Linked DNA regions of Notamacropus eugenii. The protein of the gene in region 1 binds, or shares a complex with, the protein of each later gene. Links are inferred from orthologs where the notes say so. Each region holds a gene or a part of one and is shown on either strand. Other genes may lie near its edges.

Region 1 (16,321 bases):
TTTCAAAGTTGTTATTCTGTAAATCGTTCTCTTTTTGCTTCATTTTGGATCAGTTAATACAAATGTTCCTAGATTTCTTTATCATTCTTAGAACATAATAGAATTTCTTTACACTCATATACCATAATTTGTTAAGCCATTCCCCAGTTAATGGGTGCTTCCTTAATTTCTGTTTTTATTACCACAAAAAAGTGCTGCTGTATTTTTGTACATAGGTCACTTTTCTCTTTCTTTTATCTCTTTGACATTTAAACCTAGTAGTGGTGTTGCTTGGGTCAAAGGGTGTACACAATTTAGGAACTTCTTGAGCATAGTTTGCCAAGAAAAGTCCAAATGGGGTCAGATGTGACTGAAAATGACTGAACAAAAAATGTGTGCCTAATCTGAAGAACCTATTTCTTACCCATTACCAAATTATTTTGATGATTATTGGTTGGTAATATAGTTTGAAATATGGTATAGTTAGTATCCCTCTCTTCTCACTTTTTTTTTCATTCCATTGAGATTTTTTTTTTTAATCTAACTTTTAACATTTATTTTCACAAAGTTTTGGGTTACAAATTTTCTCCCCTTTTATCCCCTCCCCCCCCCAAACCCAAGCATTCTAATTGCCCCTGTGACTAATCTGCTCTCTCTTCTATCCTCCCTCTCTGCCCTTGTCTCCGTCTTCTCTTTTGTCCTGTAGGGCCAGATAGCTTTCTTTACCCCTTAACCTGTATTTCTTATTTCCTAGTGGTGAGAACATTACAGTTGATCCTAACACTTTGAGTTCCAACTTCTTTAGCTCCCTCCCTCTCCACCCCTTCCCTTTGGAGGACAAGCAATTCAGTATAGGCCAAATCTGTGTAGTTTTGCAAATGATTTCCATACTAGTTGTGTTGTATAGGACTAACTATATTTCCCTCCATCCTATCCTGTCCCCCATTACTTCTATTCTCTTATGATCCTTTGCCTCCCCATGAGTGTCGACCTCGGATTGCATTCTCCTCCCCATGCCTTCCCCTCTATCCTCCCCCCCACCCTGCTTGTGCCCTTGTCCCCCACTCTCCTGTATTGTGAGATAGGTTTTCCTATAAAAATGAGTGTGCATTTTGTTCTTTCCTTTAGTGGAATGTGATGAGAGTAGACCTCATGATTTTCTCTCGCCTCCCCTCTTTATCCCTCCACTAATAAGTCTTTTGCTTGCTTCTTTTATGAGAGATAATTTGCCCCATTCAATTTCTCCCTTTCTCCTCCCAATATTTCTCTCTCACTGCTTGATTTCATTTTTTTTTTTTGAGATATGATCCCATCCTCTTCAATTCACTCTGTGCACTCTGTCTCTATGTATGTGTGCGTGTGTGCATGTGTGTGTGTGTACTCCCACCCAGTACCCAGATACTGAAATGTTTCAAGAGTTACAAATATTGTCTTTCCATGTAGGAATGTAAACAGTTCAACTTTAGTAAGTCCCTTATGACTTCTCTTTGCTGTTCACCTTTTCATGCTTCTCTTCATTCTTGTGTTTGAAAGTCAAATTTTCTTTTCAGCTCTGGTCTTTTCATCAAGAAAACCTGAAAATCCTCCATTTCATTGAAAGACCATTTTTTCCCCTGAAGTATTATACTCAGTTTTGCTGGGTAGGTGATTCTTGGTTTTAGTCCTAGTTCCTTTGACTTCTGGAATATCCTATTCCATTCCCTTCGATCCCTTAATGTAGAGGGTGCTAGATCTTGTGTTGTCCTGATTGTATTTCCACAATACTTGAATTGTTTTTTTCTAGCTGCTTGCAATATTTTCTCTTTCACCTGGGAATTCTGGAATTTGGCCACAATGTTCCTAGGAGTTTCTCTTTTTGGATCTCTTTCATGCGGTGTTTTGTGGATTCCTTGAATATTTATTTTGCCCTCTGGTTCTAGAATCTCAGGGCAGTTTTCCTTGATAATTTCATGGAAGATGATGTCTAGGCTCTTCTTTTGATCATGGTTTTCAGGTAGTCCCAGAATTTTTACATTGTCTCTCCTGAATCTATTTTCCAGGTCAGTTGTTTTTCCAATAAGATTTCACATTATCTTCCATTTTTCCAATCTTCTCGCTATGTTCTGTGATATGTCTTTCTCATAAAGTCTTTAGCGTCCATCTGTGCCATTCTAGTTTTGAAAGAAATATTTTCTTCAGTGAGCTTTTGAATCTCCTTTTCCATTTGGCTAATTCTGCTTTTGAAAGCATTCTTCTCCTCATTGGCTTTTTGAACCTCTTTTGCCAATTGAGTTAGGCTAGTTTTCAAGGTGTTAATTTCTTCAACATTTTTTTGGTTCTCCTTTAGTAGGGAGCTGATCTGCTTTTCATGCTACTCTTTCATCCCTCTCATTTCTCTTCCCAGCTTTTCCGCTACCTCTCTAACTTGATTTTCAAAATTCTTTTTGAGCTCTTCCATGGCCTGAGCCCATTGGGTGGGCTGGGACACAGAATCCTTGATTTCTGTGTCTTTGCCTGATGGTAAGCATTGTTCTTCCTCATTAGAAAGGAAGGGAGGAAATGCCTGTTCTCCAAGAAAGTAACCTTCTATAGTCTTATTTCTTTTCCCTTTTCTGGGCATTCTCCCCAGCCAGTGACTTGACCTCTGAATATTCTCCTCACACCCACCTCGCCTCCTGGTCCTCCCAGCCAGCGTTTGGGGACTGAGATTCAAATGCTGCTTCCCGCCTTAGGGCTTTTGGTGGGGGCAGGGCTGCTCTTCAGTGTGAGAATTAAGTTCAGGTGGTCAGGTCGGGGCAGGGCTGCCTCTCAGGCTCAGTTCCCTCAGGGGGTTTATGCACAGACCTTCCACAGAGGATCCAGGCTCCCGCCCGCTTGGGGAGCCCCTGTCTGCAGCCACCTCTCAGCTTCTACCTGGGGGGGGGGGGGCCGAATCATGGGGGCACCCCACTCCCCTCTCGACCTGCCAAAGAGACTCTCTCACCGACCCCCGTCACCTGCGGGTGGAGGGACCCGCGTGGCCACAGGATATTTTGTCCCCGTAGCCCGTTTGGATCTTTTCCTCATGGTGTCGCGGCCGCTGCAGGGCTGCTCTCTGCTCCCAGTCCCGGCGCCCAGTCCACAGCGCGAAGGACCCCCCGCGAGAGGTTTGCAGGTCTCTCCGGAACAGAAATCTCCCTCGCTCCAATATTCCGTGGCCTCTGGGGGCAGAATTCACCGTGAGTTACTCCCCTCTAGCCGTTCTGTAGGTTGTGGGTTCGGAGCTATGTGTATGTGCCTCTTTCTACTCCGCCATCTTGGCTCCGCCCCCCTCCATTGAGATTTTTAACCTTTTGTTTTTCCAAATGAATTTTGTTACTATTTTTCCTAGCTCTATCAAGTAATGCTTTGGAAGTTTAATTGGCATAACACTAAAAAAAATTAACTAATATTATCATTGATGTTATATGGGTTGATCTACTCATGAGAAACTAGTATTTATTCAATTTTTTTGATTCTGTATTTTTATAAAGTTGGGGTTTTTAGAAAATAGTTCATATACTTTCTCTGTGTTTCTTGGCAGGTTCATTCCCAAGTCTTTTACATAGTGTTGTTGTTTTAAATGGGACTTCTATATCTTTTCTTGCTGGGTTTTGTAAGTGATACATAGAAATGCTGATGATAAACTATTATGTCATCTGTGAAAAGCAATTATTTTCTTTGCTCTTCGTGCTTATTCCTTTAATTGTCTTTTCTTGTCTTATTGCTAGAGTTGGCCTTACTACCACTGCCTTGCATCACCCATGATTTTATTGGAAAGGCCTCTAGTTTAACACTTTTAGTTTTAGATAGGTACTACTTATTATATTAAAGAAAGATCCATTTTTTATGTTCCTATTCACTAAAACATATTTGTAATCATGAAATCGATACATGTGCAGAGCAGCAAAAAATTTAAGTAGCACAATGTGCATGAGCCTACTTGAGGTCCAACACGGAGCTGCTCTGCTTTCTAATTTCAGCTCTCATGCTATAAACTTACACAATCTATTTAGTGCCACATTTTTAGCCTTTTTTTTTTTTTTTGGTAGTGATTTTGCTGTTTAAAATGGCCCCCAACCATACTGCTGCGGTGTTCTCTAATGTTCCTAAGCACAAGAAAGCTTTCATATGCCTTTGGAGAAAATACATGTTTTAGATAAAGTTCATTCAGGCATGAGTTACGGTGCTGTTGACTGTGACTTCAGTGTCAATGAATCAACAAGATGGTTCATCCAGAAAAAGGAAGAGGAATTTTGTCCATCTGTAGGTGAGGCCACTTCCAAAAGTGTCAAAATAAATGTGACCAGAGGTTCACAGGAACCGAATACTGTAGTTTCCTTTGGAGAAATGGTTCAGCATTCCCTAATTTTGTTTTTGCTGTGAATTTATAGATGATGAGAATTGACTGTGTGTGATGTTGCTAAGTGTCTATATTGAACATAAAGATAACAAATGGTACTTTGTTACTCTCCCTCTTCAGTAAACTCTGGAGTCTCCTCCTCACCTCCAGAATGAAATATAAAGTTCTGTACTTTGGCATTTAAAGCTCTTCAAAACCTGGACCCTTCCTATCTGGTCTTCTTACACTCTTTTTTACCTTCACATACTCTACAATCCATTCTACTGACTAATTTTCTTTTCTTTGCATATGACCCTCCCATCTCTTTATTTCTGTGCCTTTGCACTGGCTGTCTCTCATTCTTAGAATAATAACGGCTAATAAGAGGTAACATTTGTACAGTGCTTACTGTGTTCCAGGGCAGCTTGGTGACACAGTTAATAAAACGCAGGACCTGGAGTCAGGAAGACCCAAATGTAAATCCAGCCTCAGACACTTACTAGTTGTGTGACCCTGGGCAAGTCCCTTCATCCTGTGTGCCTCAGTTTCCTCATCTGTCAAATGAGCTGGAGAAGAAAATGGCAAACTTCTCCAGTATCTTTGCCAAGAAAACCTCAAATTGGGTCACAAAGAGTTAGACATGACTGAAATGACTTAGTGTATCAGGCGCTATACTAAGTACTTTACATTTATCATCCCTTTTGATCTTCAGAAGAACCCTGGGAGATAGGAGTTATTATTATCCTCATTGAACAGGTGAGGACACTGAGGCAAATAAGATTAAATGACTTACCCAAGGTCTCATAAGTACTAAGTGTCTGAGGATAGATTTGAACTCAGGACTTCCTGACTCCAGGCTTAACACCCTTATCTACTGTGTATAGCAATGTTGTGATAGTCACAGTGCCTACAGTGGCTATGAATATGCCAGTAAAATTCAGAATCACAAAATATAACACATTCTCTACATAGAAAGACAAAACCAAAACAATTATTTAAACACCAGAAAGCCAAATCCATCATAGCAGTAAAGGAATCCATGCTCACTAACAATGCAGAGGACACCACCATCCCCAAGCCTTCCCTGTTAGGGCTTTCCCACAAACAAACACTCATTGCACGCTGCCTACTTCCTCTTTCTCCCTCAGCTCTTAACTGCTGTGTCTGCCTTCCTTTCAGCTCTATTCCACCCTTTTGGCAAGCTCCTCCTACCACAGACTCATGTGACTCAGGCTTCCATGTGACTCAAGCAGGTCAGATGAGCCTGTTTATGGATGGGAAAGATCTTCCCATTATGCATAAATACATTAAAAATACACTGTGATATCTAGCCCCACCCCCACCCCCCCGGAATACCATTCCACCTTACCCCACTTTTTAATTTCCTTGGCCTCCTTCAAGACTCAGTTCACATCCCACTTTCTGCCTTTTCTAGTGATGTCCCTTCATACTCCATTCTCCAGTTGCCAAGTGCTTTCTTCTCTGAACTTCACCTGGGCCCTCTCTGCTTACAGGCCTACAGTAGGCAGTCCTGCTGTACCTCCTTTATCAACTCACTGCCCCACTATTCACAGTAGGTTTTTCAAATTGGCTCGCATACCCTCTAATCCCTACTCTCTCAGCTGAGAACCTTGCCCATATTTTACTAAAAATTAAAAAAAAATTTAAAAAATGTCATTCACTATGAACTCTTCTCTCCACTTCCTCATCTATTATTATTTAGGTGTCATGCCACTTTTCTTTCACCTATCTTTCACCTATGATAAGACCTTACTCCTTCAAGGCTAACCCCTCTATTTGTTCAAGCAATCCCATTACATCCCATTTCCTCCAACAGATTGCCACCTCTGTCATCCCCATTCTTTGGCTTATTTTCCCTCTCTCCCTCTCTATTGGCTCATTTTCTTCTGCTTACAAACATGCTCATGTCTCCCTCATCCTGAAAAAACCCTCCCTTGGCCCTTCCATCACTGTATTCTGTATATTACATCCGTTTGTAGCTCAGCTCAAAGAAAAGACCATTTATAGTAAGTGCTCCTCTTTCCCCCCTCACTCTTTTCTTAACATCTTACAATCTGGCTTCTGATTTTTTTATTCCGCCAAAACTACTCTCTCCAAAGTTACTAATGATCTCTTACTTACTAAGTTCTTTGGCCATTTTTCAATGCTTATTCTCCTTGACCTCTCTGCAGCCTTTGACATGATCATTCTCTCTTCATGAAGACTCTTTTCTGTAGGTTGTCAAAACTCTACTCTCTCCTGGTTTTCCTCCTCCTTGCCTGATCACTCTCTATCTCATTTGCTGGATCCTACTCCAGATCACACCCTCTCCCCAAAAGTGTCCCACAGCAGGCTGCCCTGATTCCTCTTCTCTTCACCCTCTTTCACTTGGTGATCTGAGTAGCTCCCATGGATTTAATGACCATTTCTGTGCTGATAATTCTCAGACCTCTTTCCTGCCTCAGTCTCTCTGCTGACTTGGTTCAGCCTTACATCTCCAGCTGCCTTTCAGACATCTCAAACTAGATGTTCAGTAGACAACTTCATCTCATCATGTCCAACATCAAACTCATTATCTTCCCCTCTAAACCCTGCCCTCTTCCTACCTACCCTATTACTATAAAGGGCAACACTATCCTTCCAGTCCCTTAGGCTCTCAATTTAGGAGTCATCTGGATTTCTCATTATCTCTCAATCACCATTATCAAAGCTATTGGCAAAGCCTGTTGATTTCACCTTTTCAGTGTCTCTTGAATTTGCCCCCTTCTTTCTTCTTATCCTGCCTCTGTTCCAGTATAGGCCCTCTTCATCTCACACCTGGTCTCCCTGTTACAAGTCTGTCCATCTTCCCTTCAGGCACTAAGGTAATTTTCTTAAACTTAAAGTCACTTTATCCCCTCCCCCTCCTACTCAGTAAACTCCAGTGGCTTGCTGTTACTTCCAGGATTAAGTACCAGATGCTCTGTTTAGCATTCAGAATTCTTAATAAGCTAACCCCCTTCTACCTTTTCAGTTTTCTTATACCTTACTCTCTAACACATATTCTTCTATCCAGTGATACCAGCCTTCTGTTTATTCCACAAATAAGACACTCCATCTCTGGAATCCTGGCTTTTTCTCTGGCTGTCCTCCATGCCAGGAATGCTCTTCCTCTTTCACCACTCTGGCTGTTGACCTCCTTGGCTTCCTTTAAGTCCCAAGTAAAATCTCACCTTCTACAGGAAGCCTTCCCCACCCCTTCTTAATTCAATGCCTTCCCTCTGTTAATCATTTCCTATTTATCCTGTATACAGCTTGCTTTATAAATATTTTTTTTGTTTTTATATTCTCTCTCCCTTAAATTGTACGTTCTTTTGAGAGCGGGGGACTGTCTTTTGCCTCTTTTTTTATCCCTAGCACTTACCACGGTACCTGACACATTGTAGATGCTTAACAAATGTTTATAGATTGGTTAGTTGATTATCTACCCTGTATATATCTTGTGTTACCTGATTATTTACCTGTTGTCTGTTCCATTAGAATGTGAGCTTCTTGAGGGCAGGGAATATTTTTGCCCCCGTATTTGTTTCCACTGCTTAGCACAGTACACTTAATAATCATTTGTTGGCTGTATTATTACACTGCAAATTTATTGATAATCCCTGGTATTTGTATAATATCTTATATTTTTCAAAGTTCTTTTACGCATTGATCCTTGCAACATTTCTGAGCATTTAAAATAAAGAAAATGAAGTATGGAGAGCTTGCGATTTTTCTAGCCACATAATAATTCATTAGGTGAATGGAGATTACTGACTAGATTCAGCGTTCTTTTCACTATAAGCAATTATAGCTGTAATTTTCTGTCATTTTCAGAGTTGAATCATTTCAGCAGTAAAGAATCCAGCAGACCTCAATGTTTTGTGAAGTACTATTTTCATCTTTTGCTTGAGAGAATTCTGAAACTACCAAGTAGCTTTGACAAGTATTTGTGTGAGTGAATCCTTTGTGAAGGTTATACAGATAGATGTTTTCATGAAGAGAGGTGAAAAGCCGGAAGGGTATAGACAAATGAGGCCTAAGACCTTTCCTGCCAGTAACTACACTGGCAGTAGCAGGCAAATGTTGCAAGAAATACGGGAGTCTCTTAGGAATTTACCTAAACCATCAGATGCTGCAAAAGCTGAGCATAATATGAGCAAAATGACAACTGAAGATCCTCGACAAGGCCGAAATCCACCCAAATTTGTGACATATCATAAAGCTTTGCAAGAAATACGAAACTCTCTACTCCCATTTGCAAATGAAGCCAATTCATCCACCAGGAGTGCATCAGAAGTTAATCGACAAATGCTACAAGATATGCAAATTGCTGGATTTGATGAGGTAAGAACTTTTAATGACACTATAGAATATTTCATTTATTTAGACCCAAGATTTACTATAGGATAAGGATAGGCACTGGACCTGTGATTTCATTAATATGGAAAAATCCCAGATAGGAAAGACCTTATATCAATAAGGTTGGTATCTTCTCTGCAACTTACAGTCTTAGAGTTGCCTAGAGTGGAAGATGACAAAATACATTCCACATTCCAAATCTGGCCCAATTCCTATGCCAGTGGTTTACTGAGTCCTGGTCTAAAGCTTAGAGAAGTTAAGTGCCTGACCAGGGTTAAATAGCCATGATATTAGGGGCAGGATTCAAAGCTGGATTTGAGACCAGCTTTTACAAAATTAAGTATAGGTCATGCTAAATACTGATTTTTAGATTGCTTTGTTTTCTAAACACAGGCTCTACCACCAAGTAATAAAGAAGTGATTTGAATCTGAAGCACGAAAATTGGTTGAGATGTGTTGTATGTGTATACACACATTTTTTTATGTCACCTACAAAAATTTCTGGTAGTCCTAATACCATTTATTCATTTACATGAGCCTACCACCTTAGTGTCTAAGTACAATAAAAAAACCACAAAAATCACAACTTATTCTCCCTTTCCTGGAGTGGCCTGGGAATCCAAAGGACAGAGTCTGGAGTCAGAAATACTCAGTATAGTATTTTAGAGAGGAGAGTGAATCTGTAGGATGATGAGCTAGGTAACCAATATAGAAGTAGAAATAGCTGTCTCTATAGGGGAATGGCAGTGGGAAGGATGATGATATGTTCACTTCTAGAGGACTGTAGGTTTTCATTGATGGACAGCTTTCAGTCTTATCTATAAAAATAGTATAGCTAATTCAGATGTTATATAATACATTATTGTTAGTACTGAGAATCTCTTTTGTGTCTTTTCCTTGATAGACCTATTTATCTTTTGTTTAGGCTGTTAAATTTTCTTCTCTTTCCTAATAACACACTTTATAATTGGAAACTTTGGGGGTAAAATACAGAGGTTATATTGAGTTTGACCATAGATAGTCACTATCTGTCTAGATAATCTGTAATTAAATAGTCAAGAAGTGATTTTTCCTTTTAAAAACAAAATCATTAAGTATTGATTAATTGAGAAGAGGAAAAAAGATAGGAAAACAGCAATAATAGAAAGCTTGTAAAGTCTATAATGAAACTACAGAGGAAAAGTAGTTTATTCTACTTGCTATTTGTTCAGTTGTTATTGCTGTTTTGTAAACATTTCATACTTAATAGTTTTTGAAGTATTGAAGATTAAAACAAAAACTTAGATGTATATTTTCTTTGAATGAATTTTATGAATTAGGTAATTGATGTAATAGGCATCTCCAGAACAGTGCATTTTTAATTCCAGAATGATGGACTAAAGAAAAAAGCAATAAAAAGACTCTATTGATCTCAGGTTCTCCTTTGTGAGTATTGCTGGGAAAGAGAATGTATGTATAAAATCACATATCTGATCAGTCTTTAAAAAAAAATTTGACTAAAGTACATGGGGAAATAGATAACAAAACTAAATGGTTGAGGTCTACACTGTGCTACCCATTTCCAAACTCTGCTGATCTGACCAAAAAAGATAAGCCAGAAAGAAGTTAAGAAATGAATAGAATTTAAGAAAAATTAGATATCATAGATCTCTGGCAAAAATTACTGAGTAGGAATGAAAAAGATTATATGCATATCTCAGCTATATGTATATTTGATACACATATCAGCATATTCATTGTGTGTGTGTGTGTGTGTGTGTGTGTGTGTGTGTAGCAAAATTTTCCACATACTAGGCAACAGCTCAGCAAACTACAGCATGCAAGCCAAAGCCAACCTGCTAGTTGTTTTCATACCACCCTGGGCTAAGACTGGTTTTGTATTTTAAAATAAAGTTATTTAAGTATGTAAAAGTCATTTTAAGCAGGGGAAATTGGAGGAGGATGCAGATTTGGCGCTCTGTACGTAGTTTATCAACTCCTGGCTCACATATAAAAATCTCAAAGCAGTATGGAAAATTGTAAATATGAAATGCATGCGTTATGGACCATAACACAAAGGTCTTTGAAGAAAAGAGCCAAACGTAAATGATGTTAAATAATTTAATTCTTAAAAATTGATGAATCAGAGGACAAATAATAGAACTAATAGATACTTTTTCATCAAAGAAAGTGACTATAATGAGACAACATGCCAAAACTTTTGGGATGTTGCCAAAGCAATCCCTAGGGGAAAATTAATATCTCTGAACATTTTCATCAACCAAAGAGAGAAAGAACAGATCAGTAAAGTAGGCATACATTTTTTTAAAAATAGAAAAGCAACAAATCAAGAAACTTCAACTTAACACAAAAATTAGAATTTCTGAAAATCAAGTAAGAAATTAACAAAATTGGAATCAATAAATTCAGAGTTTATTAAAATCTAGGGATTTTTTGTGGGGGGAGATTTTTTTAAAAGGCAAAACATTAGCTGGTATGATTTTTTTTAAGAGAGGAAATCCACATTAATAAAAAATGAAAATGGAAGCTCCATAACAAATGAAGGAGAAATAAAAATATTAAAAACTATTTTGCTTATATGCCAACAAAACTCATAGCATAAATGAAATGGGTGGATATTAGCAAAAAAAAAATAGTCAAATTAACAGAACAAGAAATAGATAGTTTAAATGATCCAATCTTATGCAAGAATTGAACATACCATGAATGAACTCCAAAAGGGGGGAAAACATGACCAGATGGATTTACAAGTGAATTCTACCAAATGTTCAAAGAACAGTGCATTCAATATAATGTAAATTGTTTGCCCAAATAGGAAAAGAAGAAATGCTATCAAATTCTTTCTGTATTTAAAAATAAGGCCTTGATTTCTAACCTTGAGAGAAAAAGCAGAGAAAAAAAACTACAGAATAAACTGTTCATTCCTAATGAATTTCAAAAAAACTATTGAGGATAATGTTAACATATGGTTCACAGAAACAAATTGAAAAGATTTTATTAAAATTAAAAACAAATTTTAAAAATGATCATATTGGATTTCTACTAGGAATGCAGGGTTGGTTCATTAGTAGGAAAGCTATAAATATAATAAGCTGTATTAATAAGAAAAAAACCACATGGTTATATCAATAGATGCGGAAAAGGCTTTTAACAAAAAACTCCCTTTTGTAAAAAACAAGCAAAAAAACCCCACTCTAAGTCAAAGGAATAAGCAGGCCTTTCCATAATATGGTAAATAGTAGACTGGCTATAAAATAAAGAGCCAATGAAGATTATTGTGTAATTGAAGAAAGCTAGAGGTCTTACCAGCACAATCTGGGTAAAGCAAAGATAACCCACTTTTATCACCACTTTTATTTGATATGGTGCTAGAAATGCAAACTATAACAACACAAAAAAGAAAATAAACTGAGGAAGCAAATATAGGTAGAGAAGAAACAGTTGTCACTTTTTACAAATGTTAATGGTCTACTTAGAGAACCCAAAAGATTCAGGAAAAAAACCCCAGATATCATCGTTTCTGTATATGAACAACAAAAAGGGAAACCCAACTGTAAAAGATAGAGAAATTCTATTAAAATATTAATTGGTTATGATTGGGCCATTCCAATACAATAAAAATGACTACTACCTAAATGAATTCATTTATTTGATACCATATAAAATCAAATTACCAAAGCGTTGCTTTTTAAAACTAGAAAAAATAAAATTCTCTTGGAGAAATAAAAAGTCAAGAAATTCAGAGGGAAAAAATGAAAAAAGAGTGGCAAGGAAGGGTACCTAGCAGTACCAGATCTCCAACTATTCTACAAAGCACTAATAATGAAAACTTTTGGTACTGGTTAAAAATGGGAAAATGGACCAGATAGACATACAATATAAGAGCCAAGAAACAAATGAATATGGTAGCATTGTTTTTTACTTCTCCCTGCCCCCAAACCTGAGTAAATTAAATCTTCAGTGAAGTAAAGACTCAATATTTCAACAAAAACTGCTGGGCGAACTGGAATCTGGTCTGCAGAAAATTAGGTTTAGATCAACATACCATATTTCACAATAAACTCCAAATGAATACAGTACCTAAATATTTCTATTAACATCTAAATATTAATAGAATAGACAGGCAGGGAACGAGATATTTTCATATTTATATATTAGGGAAGAGTTGTTGACCAAACAAGAGACAAGGAAAGCAAATGAACAGCTTTTAATGACTGGAAAGCTTATGTATAAACAAAATTAATGCAGCTAAAATTAGAAAGGGAATGGGTAATTGGGGAAAAAAATTTTAGCTGAGAAAGAACTAATATTCAAGTTATTTTGGGAACTTATGCAAATATATAAAAGCAGAAGCCATTCCCCAATACATAGGAAGTTCTCAAAAGAAGGAATATAAGCTATCAGCATATTAAAACATGCTCCAAATCACTATGATAAAAGAAATATGACTTAAAATAATTCTGAGTTTCTATCTCATACTCATTAAATTGACAGAGGATGAAAAAGAAAAATTACATTTCTTTGAAAGGTTTGTTGGAGGACAGATATACTAATGCACTATTGGTGCTATGTTCTAAGCCATTCTGGAAAGCAATTTGAAACTGTTTCCAAAAAAGTACTAAACTGAATGATATTTGATTTTGATAGATCACAGAAAACAGAAATGGACCTATATTTACAAAGTCTTTTATAGCAGAACTTGTTATTTTAACAAAAACTGGAAGATGAGGGGATACATATCTACTGGAGAAGGACCAAATAGATTATGGTGTTTGAAAGTAATGGAAAATTGTTGTGCTGTGAAAAAGATGGATTCAGAAAACACTAGGAAGCCTGATATGAACTGATGCAAAGTGAAGTGACAGAACCAGGAGAACAATTTATATAATGACTATATCATTGTAAAGAAATGCAGCCTTGAAAAATTTAGGACCTCTTATCAATTCAGGGATCAACTCCAGAACACGTAATGGTGAAGTGTGCTGTTAAGTTCCTGACAAATCATAGACTACTCGATATACAGAATGAGACACATTTTCAGACATGAGTAATATATGAATTTGTTTTGCTGAGGAAGGGTTTTGTTTTCTTTTAATTTGGAAGGTACATTAGCTAATGATAGTGATGCCCTCCAGGAAAGAAAAAAGTCATTGAAACTTTTTTTAAATGCCCAGAAAAGAACAAAAGAAAGTTCAGTAGCACAGCTTTGAAACCAACATATTGAATTTGTTACATAATTTTTTAAAAATAGTCTTAAGTAACTTACATTTTCTTATGAAATCTTCTTTCTCTTATATGTGAAAATACTCATGTCTTTTGGTGTTTGTCTAGTTCAGGAAAACAAAAAATGAAAATTTTATTTTCACTGCTGCAAAGGTCCTTTAGATTGTAGGTAAAGCAAACATACCTCTATTAGTCACAGTCAGTATCTGCCTTCTGGTAAAGTAGAAAGAGCACTGGATTTGGAATCAGTCTTAAATTTAAGACCCAGCTCTGCCATTTACTTGGGCAAGTCACCTAATGAATGAATAATTAAATGAATAAATAAACAAAATGAAAAGGCATTGTCCTCTTCATAACACAGTAAGAAGCAGTAGAAAAGAGGAAAGGGAAGGAAGGAAAAAAGGAAGGAAGGAAACAACTCTATGCTAAGTGCTCTACCAGTATCATCTCATTTGATCTTTTTAGCTACACCTAAATTAAGTTGCAACTGCCAGGCAAATGGCAAGGCTCAGAATTTCTAAAAGTTCAGTAGTGAAGTACATGGCAAGACCCAGGGGTCCTCAGCAAGTCATATAGCAGCATCCACATTTCTTGAGGGTATAGTGGCAGGGTATACATTGAGACCCTCGAAGTCTTCAAATGAGATAATATTTATAGAGTGCTTAGTGGAGTGCCTAGTACACATTAGGTGCTATATAAATGTTTGTTCTCCCGTCCACACTTTCAGAAAGATAGTAGTTGGTGTGAGCTGCAGTATCTACTAATAGGGCAGGGGGTCTGGAAGGTTGTGGCATAGCGTCATTGGGAAGTGAGGAGAGGATTAGACTATCTCTCTGAGTTAGAACAAGGATTCTTCATTCTCTCTGACAGGAATTAGAAATAAGACATTAATTTCTCTGATCTTCATTTTCCCGATATGTAAAACAGAGATCTGAAAAGGCACTTAACCTTGATGGTCTTCAAATATCTTTCAGAATTTAATCCAGTGTCCTAGACTCATGCCTCTCAATTTAAATATGAAAATTCCATGACTGAACTCCTCAGTTTTGGCCACCCAGTATGTATTTTCTCAGCTGCCCCTAAATTGCTTATCAGTGCATCATCTTCATATTTTTCTTCTACTGTCTTTATACCTTTATGTATAACGATATCAGCATATTTGTTTTAAGTTATAAGCTCCAAGAGGACACAAACCAAATCAATGTAGTTCCCTTGGTATAGTGCTCTGTGCAGTTAAGCACTTAATAAATGTTCTTGATGGTGAAGCAATATAGCATTTGATCAAAGCAATGGTGTTTAATGAAAATGCCTTACTTCTGTGAAAACGTTTGAGTAGGCTGAATTATCATTTTGAAATCCTATTATTAACTACATTATGTTTTTACATATGTTAACAAAGTGATTAGGGTTAAAATCCACCATCTGACACCTATACCAGCTTACTGAGTGTCCACCTTACCAAGCTACTTAACTTCTGTTTGTTCCAGGCAAATCCAGTCTGGGAATGTGACAGAGGAAATTACCATACTGAAAGTTAACCATATTTTTAAAATCACAGATCTTGTTTCTCTGTACATGAAATAAAAGCAATAATGATATTTAAGTTACAAAGCAGTTCTTTTTACGAGATAATTAACAAGTGATATCAAAAAATTCAAATGTAGTTCAAGAATTTTTTTGAATTATGAGATTATGTAGTTTTTTAAATAGACTTTTTTCTATGACTAGGTTCTTGTGTTTGAAATTTAGGTCGTATCTTGGAGGTCTCAGACAATATACTTGTTCTCAGCAATTTAGAAGAGTTGATTTTTTTCCCTTTTTGTAAACTTCCTTCTAGGATATGGTTATACGAGCACTTCGACAAACTAATAATAAAAGTATAGAAGCGGCAATTGAATTCATTAGCAAAATGAGTTACCAAGATAGTCGAAGAGAACAGATGGCTGCAGCCGCTGCAAGACCTGTTAATGCAGGCCCAAAACCACCAGGTATGTTCATCCAGACATTTTTCTCTGTATTTTTTCATTATAGTGTAAGCTAATCAAGTAGCTTCCATTACCACATAAGTATTTGTTTTAAGTTTTTTCTTTGCTTTTAGAAAATAAATTATTTTTTGTAATTCTAGAAATTAATAAGCTTGATTTAGAATAATTTTATTATAATTTTCTCTATTAAATTCTCCTGTAATCTCTCATCATGGCACAGAGATGGCCTTGAGTTCTTAAAGGCAGTACCAGTGGAATTTAAGTTGTGAGTATGGACCTGGCAGTGATGTTATATGTCTTTCATCTGAGGGTCCAGAGAGGCTCATTATTACAATATTGACCACCTAGGCAATGGATTGTTTTCAGCATAGCAATTCTTTTTTATTTTTTATTTTTATTATTATTATTATTTTGT
Region 2 (16,352 bases), on another chromosome or scaffold:
GAATCCTGACTGAGACCTAGCCCCAGGCTCCTCCACATACTCTGCCCTCCAGCAACACTGGCCTCCTGCCTGGGCCTCCATCCCCCAACATACAAGGGCTTCACAGAACCAAAAGGTATTTTCACTGACTGACCCGCCACGCTCCTCTGTCTCTCCCCTCACCTGTGCCTGATGGCTTCCTTCAAGGCTCAGCCAAAACCCAATCCCCATCATGCTGGTGCCCTCCCTCTGCTGATTACTTCAATTCATATATATGTGTATATGCATGTGTGTAGATGGACAGATGGAGAGATAGAGAGACGGATGGATAAAGAGACAGAAAGAGACAGGCAGATGGATAGATGGATGGATGGACAGAGAGACAGACAGACAGACAGCTTGTCTGTCTACAGTCATTCTCATGTGTCTCTCATTAGTTGATGAGCTCCTTGAGAGCAGGGACGGTTCTGTCTCTCTTTGTAGCCTCAGGGCTTAGCACCCGGCCTAGCACTTAATGTTTGACTGACCTCTGCTGCAACTTCTTCATTCTTCTTCCTAAATTAAAACAAACAGAAGGGAAAGAAGGGAAAGGAGAGAAACAAGAGGAGGCATTACAGAATTTCCTCATCTTTCAATTACCTTGTTTGCAAAGGCAAGAGAATACATGTATGGAATACGACAAATGCCATCCAAAAGAAGCCAGAATAGTGCTTGATTTTGTGAAATGCTATGTTTTTCTTTCTTTTTAAATACCTATTATAAGAGAAAACTCACTGAGCAAGGAGAGAAAGATACTCTCACAAATGAATGTATGAAAATAACCAAAAATATCAATAAAAATAATGTTTTAAAAATTTAAACTGCTCTTTAGATCCTAAGTGTACACTGCAGGCCTCAGAGTGATTAATATTTCTGCTACAGCAATTCTCAAGTTGTTCTCTATTAAGACAGAAGGGCTGCAGTCTGTGTTGTTGAAGGGAATAATCCCCTTGAATTCCTGAAACAAATGGCATATAGATCCAATCGAGCAGGGGCGGGCTGCCAATCATTGAGAGCTGAGTGTCACTCTCACCAAAACTGGCAAATAGAATGTCATCAATAGACTTGGAGAATGAAGCTCTAAAATGCCATATAGAGTTCCCACAGCCATGCCCACCTGTCACCTGGATTGCTGCACAGCCTTCCCATTAGTCTCTGCCTCCAGTGTCTCCCCCAACCCCCACCCCACACACACACTGATGCTAAAGTGATTTTCCTCCAGCCCAAGTCTAACTACATCATTTCCCAAACCCACCAGTTCCTTACTTCCTCTAGAATTAAATAACAACTGCTGTGTTTGGCATTTAGAATCCTCCAAACTATCTGATTGTACGTGACTCATCTTCACCCACTTAATAAATGTTCTCTCCATCAGCACCTACCCTTTCCTCCTTGTTTCTGTCTGTGTTTCCTGGGGCCCACTACTAGAACATACAAGGGCTTCACAGAACCAAAAGCAGTAGGTGCTTTAGCTTGGCAAACTTACAGGAAGGCCTCACCAAATGGTTTAACCAGAGGCATTTCTGAGAGCAGAGGGAAAGGCCAGAGCAGCATGAAAAGGGCTGCATCCATTCCCTAAACTGGGCCAGCAACTGACACCTACCAAACAGAGGTAGTTCTTCTAACACACACATACACACATGCATGTACACACACAGGTACACTCTCACACATACATGCACACACACTCACACATGCGCATGCACTCACACACATATACACATACACTTTCACACGCACACACACTTACACATGCACACACACGTACACACACTGAAGCCAAGACCAATACTAACAAAGCAGGAAAGGCAAGAATGGGGTAGAATGTGTAAGGCATATAATCAGAGCAGCGCTTAGAGGATCTCCTGGCCTTTGGGCCATGACAAGAAGAAGAATTGCACAACACATAACAGGAGACCACTCCTAGGACTAGCACAGCTTCACACCAAGCTCTGACTCCATGTATGAAGCAGAAACTACAGCGATGTTGTCCATTTGGGAGGGGACCACCAGGGTTCAAATCCTGGCTGTGTGACCCTGTTCTATCACTGCTCGGGGCACCGTGCTCCTCACCTGTAAAATGAGGGGCTGGGATGGATGACTTCTAGGGTCCCTTCCAGCCTAAATCTCTAACCCAGGATCCAAGCAGCTCTGGGAGGCTGAAGAGGACAAAGCTCGAGGTTTCCCTCCTCTGAGCTCACCTTTCCACTCACTTGGAAGACGCCTCAGGTGCAAGGTTATTGTTGTCCATGTCTCCACCACTTCAAGAGCAGAGGCTGTTTTTGCCTTTCTCTGTACCCTCCAGGGTTAGCACAGTGACAGGCACATGGTAAGGGCTTAATAAACTGGAGGTGAATGACAGCTTTATAAGGGGTAAGGGCAATAGGCAGGAAGGTACCAATGGCTGCTGACGTGCACCATCTTCCTTCCCCAGCTCTATTTCCTTTTTTCCTTCTCAGCCAACGCCTAAAGGGCAGCCAAAGGTATCCAGGCCACCTGGGGTGAGGTATATCCATGGGGCTGGGACTCAGAATAAAGCAATTCCAAAGAAAATCATGAGAGTTCTACAAGAATGTTATTTGAATTTTGCAATTAAACTCCTTGTTGAAAACACCCGATTTTTTGTATTTAATAAGAATGCATGTGTGGAACCTACATAGGATTGCATGCTGTTTCGAGAGGGAGGGGGGAGGGAGGGAGAATAAATCTAAGATATATGGAAGTGACTGTAAAAAACTGAAAACAAATAAATTACTTAATTTTTAAAAAAAGGAAAAAGAAAACGCCAGATTTTTGTACCAGAAAGAACATGAGATTTGGAAGGTTGAAGTTCAAATCTTGGCTTTGCCACTTAATAGCTATGCCCCCTTGAACCAGGCACTTAAACCTCATGACGCTCCTTTAACTTGTTACTTATTAACGCTAGGTGTTCTGGAGTCCTGGATGATTCTGCCCCTTTACAACATGTCTTACGTGTAGGGGTAATCCACAGCCTGAAGTTTGATTGCATCTCCTTTGGAACAGAAAGCCCAGCCAACATGCCAAAGCAGGTCTACAGTCTGGGAAGCTCTTCAAACTCAATTTGGAGAATTCTCAAACGTTGGCCCTTTCTTGATTAATCATTGGAGAAAAATTCTGAAGAAGGGCTATTTCCAATTACTGGCAAAATGATGAGCAGCACCTTATTTCTCCAAATGACTAATACCAAAATAATAACTCTTCCCATGTATTTCTCCAAAGCAGCAAGCTAAATGTGCAAAGTGACTCAAGGACAAACAGGAGGCCAGGGAAGTGGAAGGCTGGGCCCTAATTCTCTTCATGAAAGTATGAACTAGTTCGAGTCCTCTGAATCACACACTACTCATACTGAAATGTGATCCTTCTTAGAAAGCCACCTCCGCCTAACCTCACCTGGCCGAGAATCCTTCTCGTTCAAGGCCATCGGCCAGAGAATTATCCCCTGCTCTGGTCATGTAGAACAAGCAAAAAGTTGACCAAGTTCAGAGCACGCTCTGTTATCAGGCATCACTCAACAGCTTTCAAACTGACATCCAACAGCACTTTGCAGACATATTTCCACTAGCAATCTCAGGATGAAACAACTTGTCAAACCACAGAAGCCTAGTCTCTGTCTAATTCATGAGTTCTTAATCTTTTTTAGAGTTTCGGACCTCTTTGGCAGACCCTTCCCAGAGTCCTATTTTCAAACGCATCAAATACAATACAGAGGATTACAAAGGAAATCCGTTTATTAAAATAAAAGTGTAATTCTCCTGGCCAAGTTCATGGACCCCTAGAAATCCACCTACTGACTCCAGGTTGAGAATTTTGGGCTCAATGAAATCTGCTACTCTAAAACAAATTATTTAAAGAACATTCTGCTCTTAGAATAAAAAAATTGCAAGAGTCCTTGGAGGTCACTCAGTCCAACTTAGACACGGGTCAGGAAGGTCCTCCCTAACAATTCCTACAAGCCGATGATGCCTCACTATCTGTAAACAGCCACTCCTGCCTTTCTAAGGGTTCCTGAACTGGAACTGAGCCACAATGGGCTTCCTTCAAGGGCCTCTCAGGAGCTCTCACTCTGCCTTCTGAAGACTTGCACAAGACGATCATTTAATATCCGAGGGGAACAGTCAAGTCTCTTCACGCATGACCACTCTGTGCCCCTCGCCATCGTCGCTGGGTCCCCAAATCTGGGATCACTCTGAGATGTGCCAGTCAGTGGGAATGGCCCTTCCAGGATATTTTCTTCCCACCTTCAGGTGTCAACTGTACTTGAGGGAGAGCACAAGGACAAAGTTCAAACACTTCAAGGAGTGAGGGTGGTTTCACTGAAGGAATTCTGTCACCCTGCCACCACTCTAAGCCAATGGTCTTCCAGCGTCCACAGGGCCAAAAACCTTAGCGCTCTGTGGCCAAATCTGATGGGCCTTTCTTAGCTTGGTTGGGTCTCAGGAAACAGACAGACAGACAGCCAATCCATCACGGGGGCTGGTGCCTAACAAAGCCTGCACTTCCCTGGAATAGCCTGAGAGCCCATGGTTATCCAATCAATCAATCAACATTTATTAAGTACTTGCTTCATTCCAGGCACTTTCGAAAAGCATGAGGATACAAAAAAAAGACAAAAGACAGTGGAGCAGATGGTCTCATGGGGGAGACAACATGCAAACAAACACATGCCAAGCGAGCTACAGAGGACAAATAAAATATGATTAACAAGGAAGGCCCTGGAATTCGGAGGGCTTGGGGAAGGCTCTCTGTAGAAGAAGAGATTTTAGTTGGGACTTTAAGGGAGGTCAGTGAGCTGGGTGGAGAAGGGAGAACGTTCCGCACTATGAGCAGGGTTTTAGTACAAGGAAAACAAACGTTTCATGGAAATAACTCCTCTTCCCTTTATCTCAGTCCAACTCTAGGCTAAAATCTCTCACCAGATTTTTAATGTTGAGTTTTCATGATTATGATCACTTGACGAACATACAATAAATGACTGCCATATGGAAAGGCAGCGTTGGGCAACAGCTGGAGAGACAGAGACCCAGACGTTGCCTTCAAGGAGCTTAATTTTTTTCCCCAAAGTACCTCAGTTATACAATTTCTGACAAATGAGGTACATGACACCATTCTCTATCTGTACGGCATCCCCTCCAAGATATGAATGTTATACGTAAAACTACAAAGAAGAGTTCCCGCCTGGATACAGCTGCTGGGGGGGGAGGGGGGGGGGCCTGCCTGCTGCCAGTCTATCTCTCCCCAATCTGATCTATCCTCCATTCAGACACCGGAGTGATCTTCCTAAAGCACAGATGCCACCCACAACCTGGTCCCTTACTAGAGCCCTCCAACAAGTACTCAGCTATGCAGGGCCCCCAGCCTCCTTGGCATTCCTCTCCCACAATGCTCCAGCTCCCAAATCCAAACATTTCACTGGCTGCCTCACCTCCCTGGAATGCTCTCCCTCCTCATCTGTGCCTCCTGGCCTCCCGGGCATCCTTCAAGTCTCAGCTCCTCCTCCCCAGAAGCCTTTCCTTCATTGCTGCTGTCTGCCCTCGGGGGTTTATCTCCAATTTAGCCTGTTCTACAGCTTGTTTGCCCCCAGTTGTCTGCCTGTTGTCTCTCCTTTGAGGGCAGGGCCTGTCTTTTGCCTTTCTTTGCATCTCCCCTGCTTGGCCCAGTGCCTGGCATGCAGCACATACTCATGCTGTGGGCTGACTGGACTGCCAGCTTCTCCCAGGTCATATAATGACTAAGCCCATTAACATGAGCTTCCAAATTCAAAGTTCGCCTGTGGAAAAACCACCTTCACATGATATGAGACACTGGAAGATGATACACAAGACTTGTACTCTCCTAAAGTGGCCTTGGCCTTTGCAAAGACTACTTGGTCTGGGCCATTAGACCCACTCCATTCAAGCTGATTCCCTATTTCCAAGCTAGAGCCAAACAATCCTCTTTCACACCCTACAAAAAAAATTACCATATACTGCTCACTATAATAATTGCTAACATTTATACAGCACTGTGTGCCAAGCATTGTGCTAAGAACTGTTTACAAATATCTTATTTAACAACCCTGTGAGGTAGGTACTACTATCATCACCAGGTGGCAGCTAGGGGCCACAATGGATACAGTGCTGGCTCTAGAGGCCGGTTCAAAGCCAGCCTCACACACTTACTAGCTGTTTGACTCAAGGCAAGTCACTTAATTCTGTCTGCCTCAGTTTCCTCATGTGCAAAAAGAAGGGCTTGGACCAGATCACCACTAAGGCCTCTTCTAGCTCCACAGAGCAGTATGGCACGGTAAAAAGAGCCCTGAATTTGGGAATCCAAAGCCAGTTCCAGTCCCGGTTCTGACACTTACTAGCTCTGTGACTTCCTTTATTGTGAAGTGAGGGGGCTGGACTAGGCAGCCTCTAGCTGGAGGTGTCAGGGGGCAACGTGGCCCAAACACGTGGACTCCACCCATGCTTGACCCTGCAGTCACCTAGTCAAACAGCACAAAGTGAGGATGACTTGATTGGCCCAGAAGGGAGTGTGCCAAACACCTCACTGACCTAAAAGCTCCCCAAGGGTGTCACTGTTACATTCTCTCCTACCCAAGTCACCCTGACTGGGTCAGCTCTCCCCCTCCCCCCTTCCCCTCAGCCCCCTGGCCTTTCTGGATGCCTCACTCCATGCACTCTGGGCAACCAGTAGGGCCCTGAACAGGACCTACCAATGCTGCCCCCTCACCTGCCTCTCTCTCTTTACAGAAGAGGAAACTAAGGCCCAGAAACGCCTTGCCCCAGGTCACGCAAGTAACCAGCAGCAGAGTCTGGTCCTCGGACCCCCAGTCCAGGGCTGTCTTTACTACAGCCCAGCTCTCCTTCCCCTAGAGGAGCAACAGGGTCCCCACCCTAGAGGGTCTTCAAGCAGAGGGAGCTGCAGGCTCCAGGGTGGTCGCTTGTCACGTATGGGGCAGTCTGGGTGTCACTGAGGTTCTAGTCAACCCTTCAAACACTTTACACAGTATTTACAAATACTCCAAATGCAAACACACGTCTGTGCATCCCTCATGGAATGAATGTTAGCTCCCAGAGGCCAAGCGACTTTAGCGATCCAGGGCAGGAGACGTCCGAGCCCCAAGTCAAGTGCTTTCTGCATCCCACAGTGCTGCCCCCCACACACACATCCACCAGACACATTCACAGTGTGTATGTACGTACGTATGTCTATACACACGCATGCATCCGTACACATCCGTACACACATATATTTGCATGTATACATCTATGTGCTCATATCCTTCTGTATGGACAGCCAGGTGGCACGGTGGATAGAGCACCAGGATTGAATGTGGAAGACTCATGTATGTGAGCTCAAATCTGGCCTCCAACACCCCCTCACTGGGTGACCCTGGGCAAGTCGCTTCACCCTGCTTGCCTCAGTTTCCTCACCTGTAAAATGGGCTGGAGAAGGAAATGGCCAACCTTTCCAGTATCTCTGCCAGGAAACCCCCAGTGGGGTCGTGGAGGGCGCATTGCTGAAAGGACTGACCAGTGCCAACATGCTTACGTAAACATGCACAGATACTTACACACTTACACATACATGTTCACATTACAAATCCGGGTATGATCATACATACTGATGCTGGGCGTGCATCGGTACTATGTGGGCACCCACACTCAGGGGTACTTGCTAAACTTCACCCCCTGAGCTGGCACACCGGGCACGGAACGCACGAGGGATCGGAGGGGCAGAGGCAGGAGGCCGGCCTGCCCGAGGACGACAAGGCCGGGGTGCGGTGGTGATCGGGTGGTCACCTGGGGCGGAGGACACTGAGGCCCCCCGGCCCGGCGCGCGGCAGGCTGCCCGCCCCGCCTCAGGTCCGCCTGGAGGGTCCGGCCCGCCGGCCCCCTGCCGCGCGGAGGGCTCCGGCTCCGGGGACACGTGGCCGGCGCCCCCGCGTCCCGCCCCCTGGCGGGCGGGGCTCCTTCACTCGGGCGGGGTACACACGAGGCGCTCAAGCAGTGCTGGCGGACGGGCGAGTTACCTCGCAGTTGAACTCCATCTCCGCGTCCATGGTGACGATGCGCACGGTGAACGTCTTGGGCTGCTTCCTCTTGAGGGAGCTGAAGCTCATGCGCGACGCGATGGCCCCGGCCATGGCAAGGCCCCGGCCCCGGCCCGGCCCGGCTCAGCCCACAGGCCGCCCAGGCCTCAGGGCCGCCAGGGCGCCTGCGCGGAGCCGGGGGGCCTCATGGCGCCTGCGCGGAGCCGCGTGGCCTCGGGCCTCGGGGCCCCTGACCCCGGACCCCGGGCCCAGGCCGGCCGCCCACCCCGCGGGGCCCGAGGGCGGGGGCGGGCCCCCTCCGCGGTGGGCGGCGGCCGGAGGCTGGCGCTCAGGACTTCGTGAGGCCCAGAGGCTTCGCCACGTTCCGCTCCCGGCGCTCCCGTCCCGCCTCGGAGGAGCCGCGGCCGAACGGGCACGCGAGTGAGTGAGGGGAGCGCGCGCGCTCCCGGGGGCGCTCGGGTCCGGGCCCAGTCCGCTCGGCGCGCGCCCTCGGCCCGTAGCCTGAGGCACTGGCGGCCCACCCAGCCCCGCTCCGATTGGTCCGACCTCCCCTCTCCCGCCCCCCACCCGGTGGAGGCGGGGCCTAGCCTTCGGCCACGCCCCCTTGAAGAAGGCTGGCCAGTGGCAAGCTGGGTCTCGCCGGCGCGTAAGGCCGGACTCGGCGCTGAGTGGTCGATGCGGCTGTCGCTCGGGCCGCCTTTGTTGCCGGGTTCCTCCTCCTCCTGCTGGAGCGCTGGAGAAAGCCAGCTTCGACTAGGGGCCCGCTAGGAGAGGCGGGGAGAGGGTGGGGGCGTGGCGGTGACGTCACTGAAATGTCGCGGAGGGGCGTGGCATAGCGGAGCCAGCCTGTTCTGCAGGTGCTTCGTGCGCGGGTGGTTCCCTGTGCCAGCCTCACCTCCATTACCGCTGCTACTACCACTAGCCTTCTTCAGGTTTTCCTGGCAGTGGTGACAGTGGGCAAACTTATTGGTGAGGAAGGAGAGGAGGAGATGATGTTCCCCATCTGCTGTCATATCCCTCTTGTCACCCCCACTTTATAGACCAGAAAACCGAGGATGGAAAGGGTTAAGGGGTTTACCTGTCCGAGGCAGGATTGGAATTCAGATCCTTATGACTCCAGGTTGAGCACTAACGGGTCAGCACAGCCAGCACCCCGCTCTGAGAAGCCTTCCCCGCCCCACGGAAGTGCTTCCGTGTCGTGCTTGTGAGTACACGTGTGGGGTCCCCCAGTAAAAGGCAAGCTCCTTGAGGGGAGGGGCTGGACCACTCGTTGTGTCTTTGCGTCTGCACCCGGGTGGCACCACAGGGCACACACTGCGGATCCTGGAATTAGGAAGACTTCCTATTCAAATGTGTGACTAGCTGTGTGACCCAGAGCAAGTCACTTAACCCCGTTTGCCTCAGTTTCCTCATCTGCAAGAGGAGCTGGAGTCTTTGCCAAGAAAACCCCACATGGGGTCATGAAGAGTCAGACACAACTGAAATGACTCAGCAGGAACAAAGCACAGCACCTAGCCCAGGTGGGACAAGCTTAATACATTTCTGGTGAATTAAATTGGAGTTTAGCTCTTGGCTGTGTGACTGCTCAGATCTTTTACCCTCTTTGAACCTCAGTTTCCTCATCTGTGAAATGGGGGGACCAGTCATTGCATCCCGTACTTCACAGAGTTATTGTGAGGAGACAGCCCTTTGTTGACCCCATGCTACAAAATGTGAGTTGTCATTTCCTGGGGAATGCATCCTAAGTACGGAGATCCCCATACAAGAATGAGATTACTTGTCTGAGATTGTAGTTTTTACCTCCAGCTTCCTAACTGGTCTCCTTCTAGTGGCTCCATATTCTACAAGTATTAATAGCCCTAAATATAGACCTGACCGTGTAACTACCCTGCTCAAGAAGTTGCAGTGGCTTTTGCCATTTCTTTCTCCAGCTCATTTTACAGATGAGGCAAACAGTGAAGTGACTTGCCCAGGGCCACACAGCTTGTAAGTGTATGAGGTCAGATTTGAACTCAGGTCTTCCTGACTCCAGGCCTCTTGCTCTACCCAGCGCACCACCTTGCTGCATACATATACCCACACACACACCCCCACACACACACATCTTATATGTAAGTAATAATAACAGCTAACATTTATGTAGTGCCTGAAACAAAGCACTTAAATACAATGCACTTTACATACATTATCTCATTTCCTCATAGCTGCGTTTCTATCCCCTTTATACTGTTGAGAAAACTAAAAGAGAGAGAGGTGAAGTGACTTGCCCAGGATCACGCAACAAGCAGGTGTCTGTGGTAAGATTTCAGCTCAAGGCTTCCTAACTTCAAGGCCAATGTGGTATCTGCAAAGCCACCTCATTGCCCTAGTTATCTGCATGTTGAGTGTCAGGGCAGGGCAGGGACTGCATTGCTTTAAGCATTATAAATAGCGCTTCATAAATGCTTGCTGACTGTCTGGCTTGGGTGGGTCACAGATGGGCCTCTAGGTCCTCAAGTGGGGCTCTTTGACAGGTTCCCCACCCCTGACCTGGCTCGTCTTCTTTGGGGACAAGCTTGGTTACTGCGACTCCATGAGGTTCAATCTCTGCTCTTTTGTTCTTTCCATTTATGTTTTGGAAGTCAGTGTGTCCTGCTCTCCTGGCCTGAGACTGCAGAAAGGTTAAGGACAATGAGAATTGAGAAAAGGCCATTTGACTTGGCAATAAAGGGCTCTAGTAATTTTGGAGAGAGACGTTTTGGAAGCTGGATTGGAAGGCTTTAAGAAGAGAATGAGAGGAAAAAAAGTGGAAGCCCCTGTTAGAAGAAGGCCTTTTTAGCCACAAAACACAGAAGAGACATAGGATGATAGTGAGGATGGAAGGATTAAGTAGGGTTTTTTTTGGAGGATGAGGGCGACATGAACATGCTTATAAGGCAGTAGGGAAAGAACCAACAGACAGAAAGAGATTGAAACAAAGTGAAAGATTGGGAGTGACAGAGGAGGAAATCTTTTTTTTATAATATTTTATTTTTTCCCAATTATGTGTAGACAATTTTTAGCATTCATTTTTACAAGATTTTGAGTTCCAAATTTTTCTCCTTCCCTTCCCTCCCCTCTTCTTAAAATGGTAAGTAATTTGATATGTTATATATGTGCAAAGATGTAAAACATATTTCCATATTAGTCAGAGTTGTGAAAGAGGAAATAGACCAAAAGGGAAAACCATGAAAAAAAATAAAATGAAAAAAGCGTGCTTTGATCTAAATTCAAAGTCTATCAGATCTTTATCTTTCCATCAAGAATTCTTTGTAATTGTCTTGAATCATTGTGTTTCAGAGAAGAGCTGAGTCTTTCATAGTTGATCATCACAAAATGTTGCTGTTACTATGTATAATGTTTTCGTGGTTCTGCTCATTTCACTTCACATCAGTTTGCACAAGTCTTTCCAGGTTTTTCTGAAATATACATTGGTTCTTAGTATTCCATTACATTCATATACCACAACTTGTTTAGCCATTTCCCAATTGATAGGTATCCCCTCAGTTTCCAATAATTTGCCACCATGAAAAGGGGTGCTATAAATATTTTTATACATGTAGGTCCTTTTCCCTTTTTTATGACTTCTTTGGGATGCAGATTTAGTAGGGGTATTGCTGGATCAAAGGATATGCACAGTTTGGTTGCCCTTTGGGCGTAGTTCCAAATTCTTCTCCAGAATGGTTGGATCCATTCACAACTCCACCAACACTACATACATTAGTGTCCCAATTTTCTCACATCCTCTCCAACATTTATCATTTTCTTTTTTTGTTATATTAGGTAATCTAATAGGTGTGAGATGGTACTTCAGAGTTGTTTTAATTTGCATTTCCCTAATCAAAAGTGATTTAGAGAACTTCTGTGACTATAGATAGCTTTGGTTTCTTCCATCCATTTCAGAGGGGAAAATCTTATGGAGAAGATGGGATGGGGTTAAGGTCACTTGGACATGTAGAGGGATTAGCCTTGGTTAGGAGTAAGAAGATGGAAGGTCTGAGATCAAAGGAAAGGTTGATTTACTGAAGGTCATACACAAGATCATGGGAGAGAGCTCACTATATAGTTCAAAACTCTCATTTTATAGATGAGGAAACTGAGGCTCAGAAGGGAGAAGGGACTTCATGGGTCATCAATCTATAGGTAGAAGGGGGTCTCAGAAGCCATCTGGTCCAATGTGCTCATTTTATGGATCATGAAACACAGAAGGGAAGTAACTCACTCAGAGTCACCCAAGGAGTAAATAGAAGAGTCAGGATTTGAACTCAGGTGCTGGAGTCTATTACTGGGATGAAATGAACTTTGAAGAAACCAGTCAATTGGAAAGGAATAGTTTCAGAGAATCTTGGGAAGACTTGTATGAACCGATGCATAGTGAAATCAGCAGAACCAGGAGAACAATTTATATACCATGACAGCAACATTGTAAAGACAAACCACTTTGAAAAACTTAAGGACTTTGATCATTGCAATGATAAGCCACAACTCCACATGACCAAGGATGAAAATACCCTCTTCCTCCCAGAGAGGTGGGATCAAGACTGAGCAAGACAGAGGGATCAAGATGCAGAATAGGACATACATTCTTGGACATGGACAAGGTGGGGATTTCTTTTGCTTGACTTCCTATTTGTTATTTGTCATTTTTTTTTCAGAGGAGGGAGTTAGGGAGAAAAAACAAAATTTTGTCAACTTTTAATTAATAAAAAGAAATAATGAAAAAGTAAATGCTGAAAGCAACAAGCCTTTTATTTGTTATGTTTAAGGGAGGGCCGTTTGGCTTAATTGGATCATCCCAAAGGTACCCAAAAGATAAGGCAAATTCAACCAAGTCATCATACTAGCATACTAACAGTTCCCCATCCATGGGTCAAGATCGACTCCTCAAAATAAGACTGGTCAGGGTAGAGAAGGTTTACAGCCAGGAATGGCCAGATAGTCTTTACACTAACAGAATTTTATTGTACTGGTCTCTAACCTAGGAATGTCCAGAGACAAAACAGAGCAGGTCAGAGGTGAGTGTGCCAGCAATCAAGTAGCAGTTAAATTAATTTCAGAGGGAGGAACTCAGTTTGCAAACCTGAAGTTCTAAGAACAAAAGCTTATCATGCTAGAATAAAGTCAGAGCTTATTTACATAGATCACAAATGGGAAGGGTTGGGGGAAGGTGGATCCCAACATAGTCATTTCTAGGTCTTGAGCGATTTCCTAAGGCAAATCCACAAGTGCAGGCAATGCAGGTGTTCTTGAGTTCTGTGAGAACAGTTCTTAAGCTGATGGCCTCAAATCTTGGGGGTCGTGATTTCTTGGTAGGGCACAGAACCAGTATTCTGTGACGGGAACAGGTTTTACAATCTCTGATTTGCTTCACTGAAGGTACACAGGCGCAGGAATGTAGGAATTGTCAGAGTTGATGGATCATTTTAAGCTGCATTGTGAATCTCTTGACTTCCAAGCCAAAATCTGCTGGGGAAATGGGAGCTCTAAGATATCCAGATAGTATAATCGTTACACATCATATCCAAAATGTCCTCTCAAGAAACTGTGGCCATGATTTGGTCTATGGGCATACCTACCTCTCTGTCCCTGGGACTCCTGGGTCCAGTTTCACTTTGTGCTTTAGAGTAGCTCAGGAATCAGGGCAGGGGTTTTAGAGGGATGAGCAGGGATCCCAATCAGGGATCAGGCAGGTGAGGTTAATCTCTCCCCCCCAACATCCAGGAAACCAAATGTTTATAGGTTGGAAGCCTCTAAGCATAGAAAATCCAAATGTGGAGGAGGGAGGAAGTAGAAAGTGTGTTCCAGAAAAGGGTCAAGGCAGGAGAGTAGACCTCCAGCCAGGAGGAGGGAGAATGGCTAGGCCACGGAGGACTTGTGGGATAGACAAAGATCAGAAATGAAAAACTGGTTTTTCCAGTTTCCTTCATCAGGCTTCCTAATTCCAAATCCATGTTCTTTCCACCATACCACACAGGGCAAATATCAGTACCCTGATTTTTCAGTTGAAAAATCTGGAGCAATGAAAGGCAGAATAACAATTTTCACTCAGTCCATCAAAGCACATATTCAGTACCTACTTTTTGTTAGACATGTTCTAGGCACCATAGGCACAAAGACAATACAAAATAGTCCCTTTCTTCAAAGAGTTAGTGTTTTACTAGAGAAAGCCACATGGGCTCTTCCAAACAAGACAATTGTTGGAACCCCACCTGGTCTTTGTATTCTAAGACCAGTGTCCTTCAAACTTCCTACAGTCAGACTGGAAAGTCCTCTGGGACAGGAATGTCTCTTCCCTTTGTATCCCTAAAGACTCAGCACAAGGACCTGGCACAAAGTAGGTGCTTGATAAATGCCAGTTGACTTGACTACAAACCACACTGTCTCTTAGACAGAACACCTAGGAGCGTTTTTGGCCACCTGGCCTGAGATGGCGTTGACTCATCCCTTGATTGCTGTAAAGACCGTGTGTTCATTTCAGATTTTGCCACCATCAAGCACCATATTCGCTTTGATAAAGCAAATGAGTGAATATGAATACTTCCTGCTCTCAGAAGATTCACATAAAGAAAAAGAAGAGACAGCTTAGAATAATAAAGGACTGGTCTTGGAGTTAGGAAGACCTGGGTTCAAGTCCCACTCTGAAACCTTCTGGCTGTGTGACCCTGGACAAGTCCCTGAACCTCTGAGTGGTCTATCCAGCTAAGATCCTAAAGACCAAAATAGTTCCTCATCTACATTGGAAGAGGGAGCTGCTTCCCCTTCCCCTTCTCAAATGAAGTAACAGACTTCAAACAAAAACCATGGAATTCTCTGTTCTTTTCCTTGGTAACCAGGAGATTCTGGCCTTTTGTGCTTCATCAGATGGAATCTAGCTCTTGCCAATGGCGTGAATGTCTGCTGTGTGCTTGGAGCACCCAGATGAGGCAAAGACTGCTCAAAGGATGTCACCTCTAGGATAGAATATAAGCTCCTCTGGTTGGTATTTAAATTCTTGTAGATCCTGACTCCAGGCAGTCATGAATTGGCCTTCCTAGGGATCACTCCAATTCTGAACTTCAACCAGCTAGACCTGTTCTTCCTCATACATGACATCCCATCTCTATGCCTGAGTCCCCCCCTCCCACTCAGAGCCAGTAATGCCCAAATTCCTACTTTCCTCTTCAAATATACCTCCTCTATGAAGCCTTTCCTGATTCTCCCCAAGCTGCTAGCTCCATTGCCTTGTATTTATTACATTGGGTGTGTGTGTGTGTGTGTGTGTGTGTGTGTGTGTGTGTGTGTGTGTGTGCGCGCACGCGCACGAGCCTGATGGACCTAGTGTCAGAAGACCTGAGTTCATACATCCTCAGACACCTACTAGCTCACATTTCAAGTAACGGTAATTACTAGTTACTTACTAGGTAACTAGTTTAGTTAGTTAATAACTAGGTAGATAATGGTGACCTCCTAGCTCACATTTTTAATTTTTTAAAAACTAACCTCAGTTTCCTCATATGTAAAACAAGGAATAATGATGCCTACTTCCCAGGGCTATTGTGACAGTAAATTGAGCTAATATTTGTAAAGCTCTTTGCAAACCTTAAAGCACTAGCTTATAGTATTATTATGTGTATAATGGTAGTTTTTATTATTCTGCTGACTCCCCTTATGGAATGTAAGTTCCTTGAAGGAAATGGCTGTTTAAATTTGTACTCATATCCCTAGTACCTGGCAAACACTAGGTGCTTAATAAATGCTTAGTGATTGATTGACTGTACTCATATTCGTTATTTGGTGTACGTGAGCGACAGAGAATGACGTGTCATGTAGAGAAACTATGCTAGCATATTTTTTACCTTCTCTTTCACGTGCTTAAACAGGCCCATTGTACTCCTATCACTGCTTTACATTCCTAGAGGGCCCCGTAGCAAATATCTGCCCAGGATGAGAATGGTTTTATGGCCCCTGTGTTCAGAGAATGTTTGATAAAGGTTCTCGCAGACCCAGGCGAATGGCCTGGAACAAAGATAAGCTGTGCCTTCACTCCTGTTTGGCTAATCATTGCCTTAGGGACGTTGAGAAGTATGTTGAAGGGCAGTGGTGTATTGGAGGAGATATGGTGAATGCTCACCAGAGTACATGAAAGATGAGGCTTTTTGTCTGTGTAAGGGTTTGGAAATCTGCATGCTCACCTCCTTCTGTTAGCATCTCACCAGCAGAATCTGTGGCCTCTAGTGCTGGTGTGGTCAAAGATGGGAACAAGTCTTCAGATGGATGA

What was found.
Region 2: the proteins of LATS1 (region 1) and NF2 are in contact, whole or in part, in a crystal structure (PDB 7LWH), measured with the Homo sapiens proteins. The link is inferred for Notamacropus eugenii from reciprocal best matches to the Homo sapiens genes LATS1 and NF2. Residues at the interface, in NP_004681.1 of Homo sapiens: Pro69, Lys70, Phe71, Gly72, His74, Ala77, Leu78, Glu80, Ile81, Arg82, Ser84, Leu85, Phe88, Ala89, Asn90; in NP_000259.1 of Homo sapiens: Pro135, Glu136, Ala137, Val139, Leu140, Tyr144, Asn175, Leu176, Tyr177, Gln178, Met179, Met183, Trp184, Arg187, Trp191, Glu206, Ile210, Asp213, Leu214, Glu215.

What each region holds. Positions count from the first base shown.
Region 1 is NC_092873.1:241,727,712-241,744,032, reverse strand, and holds the start of LATS1 (serine/threonine-protein kinase LATS1), read left to right. Parts: upstream 1-8,198; 5' UTR 8,199-8,332; coding exon 8,333-8,683; intron 8,684-15,758; coding exon 15,759-15,909; intron 15,910-16,321. UniProt on the Homo sapiens protein: Negative regulator of YAP1 in the Hippo signaling pathway that plays a pivotal role in organ size control and tumor suppression by restricting proliferation and promoting apoptosis.
Region 2 is NC_092875.1:16,046,401-16,062,752, forward strand, and holds the start of NF2 (merlin), read right to left. Parts: upstream 8,272-16,352; 5' UTR 8,171-8,271; coding exon 8,057-8,170; intron 1-8,056. UniProt on the Homo sapiens protein: Probable regulator of the Hippo/SWH (Sav/Wts/Hpo) signaling pathway, a signaling pathway that plays a pivotal role in tumor suppression by restricting proliferation and promoting apoptosis.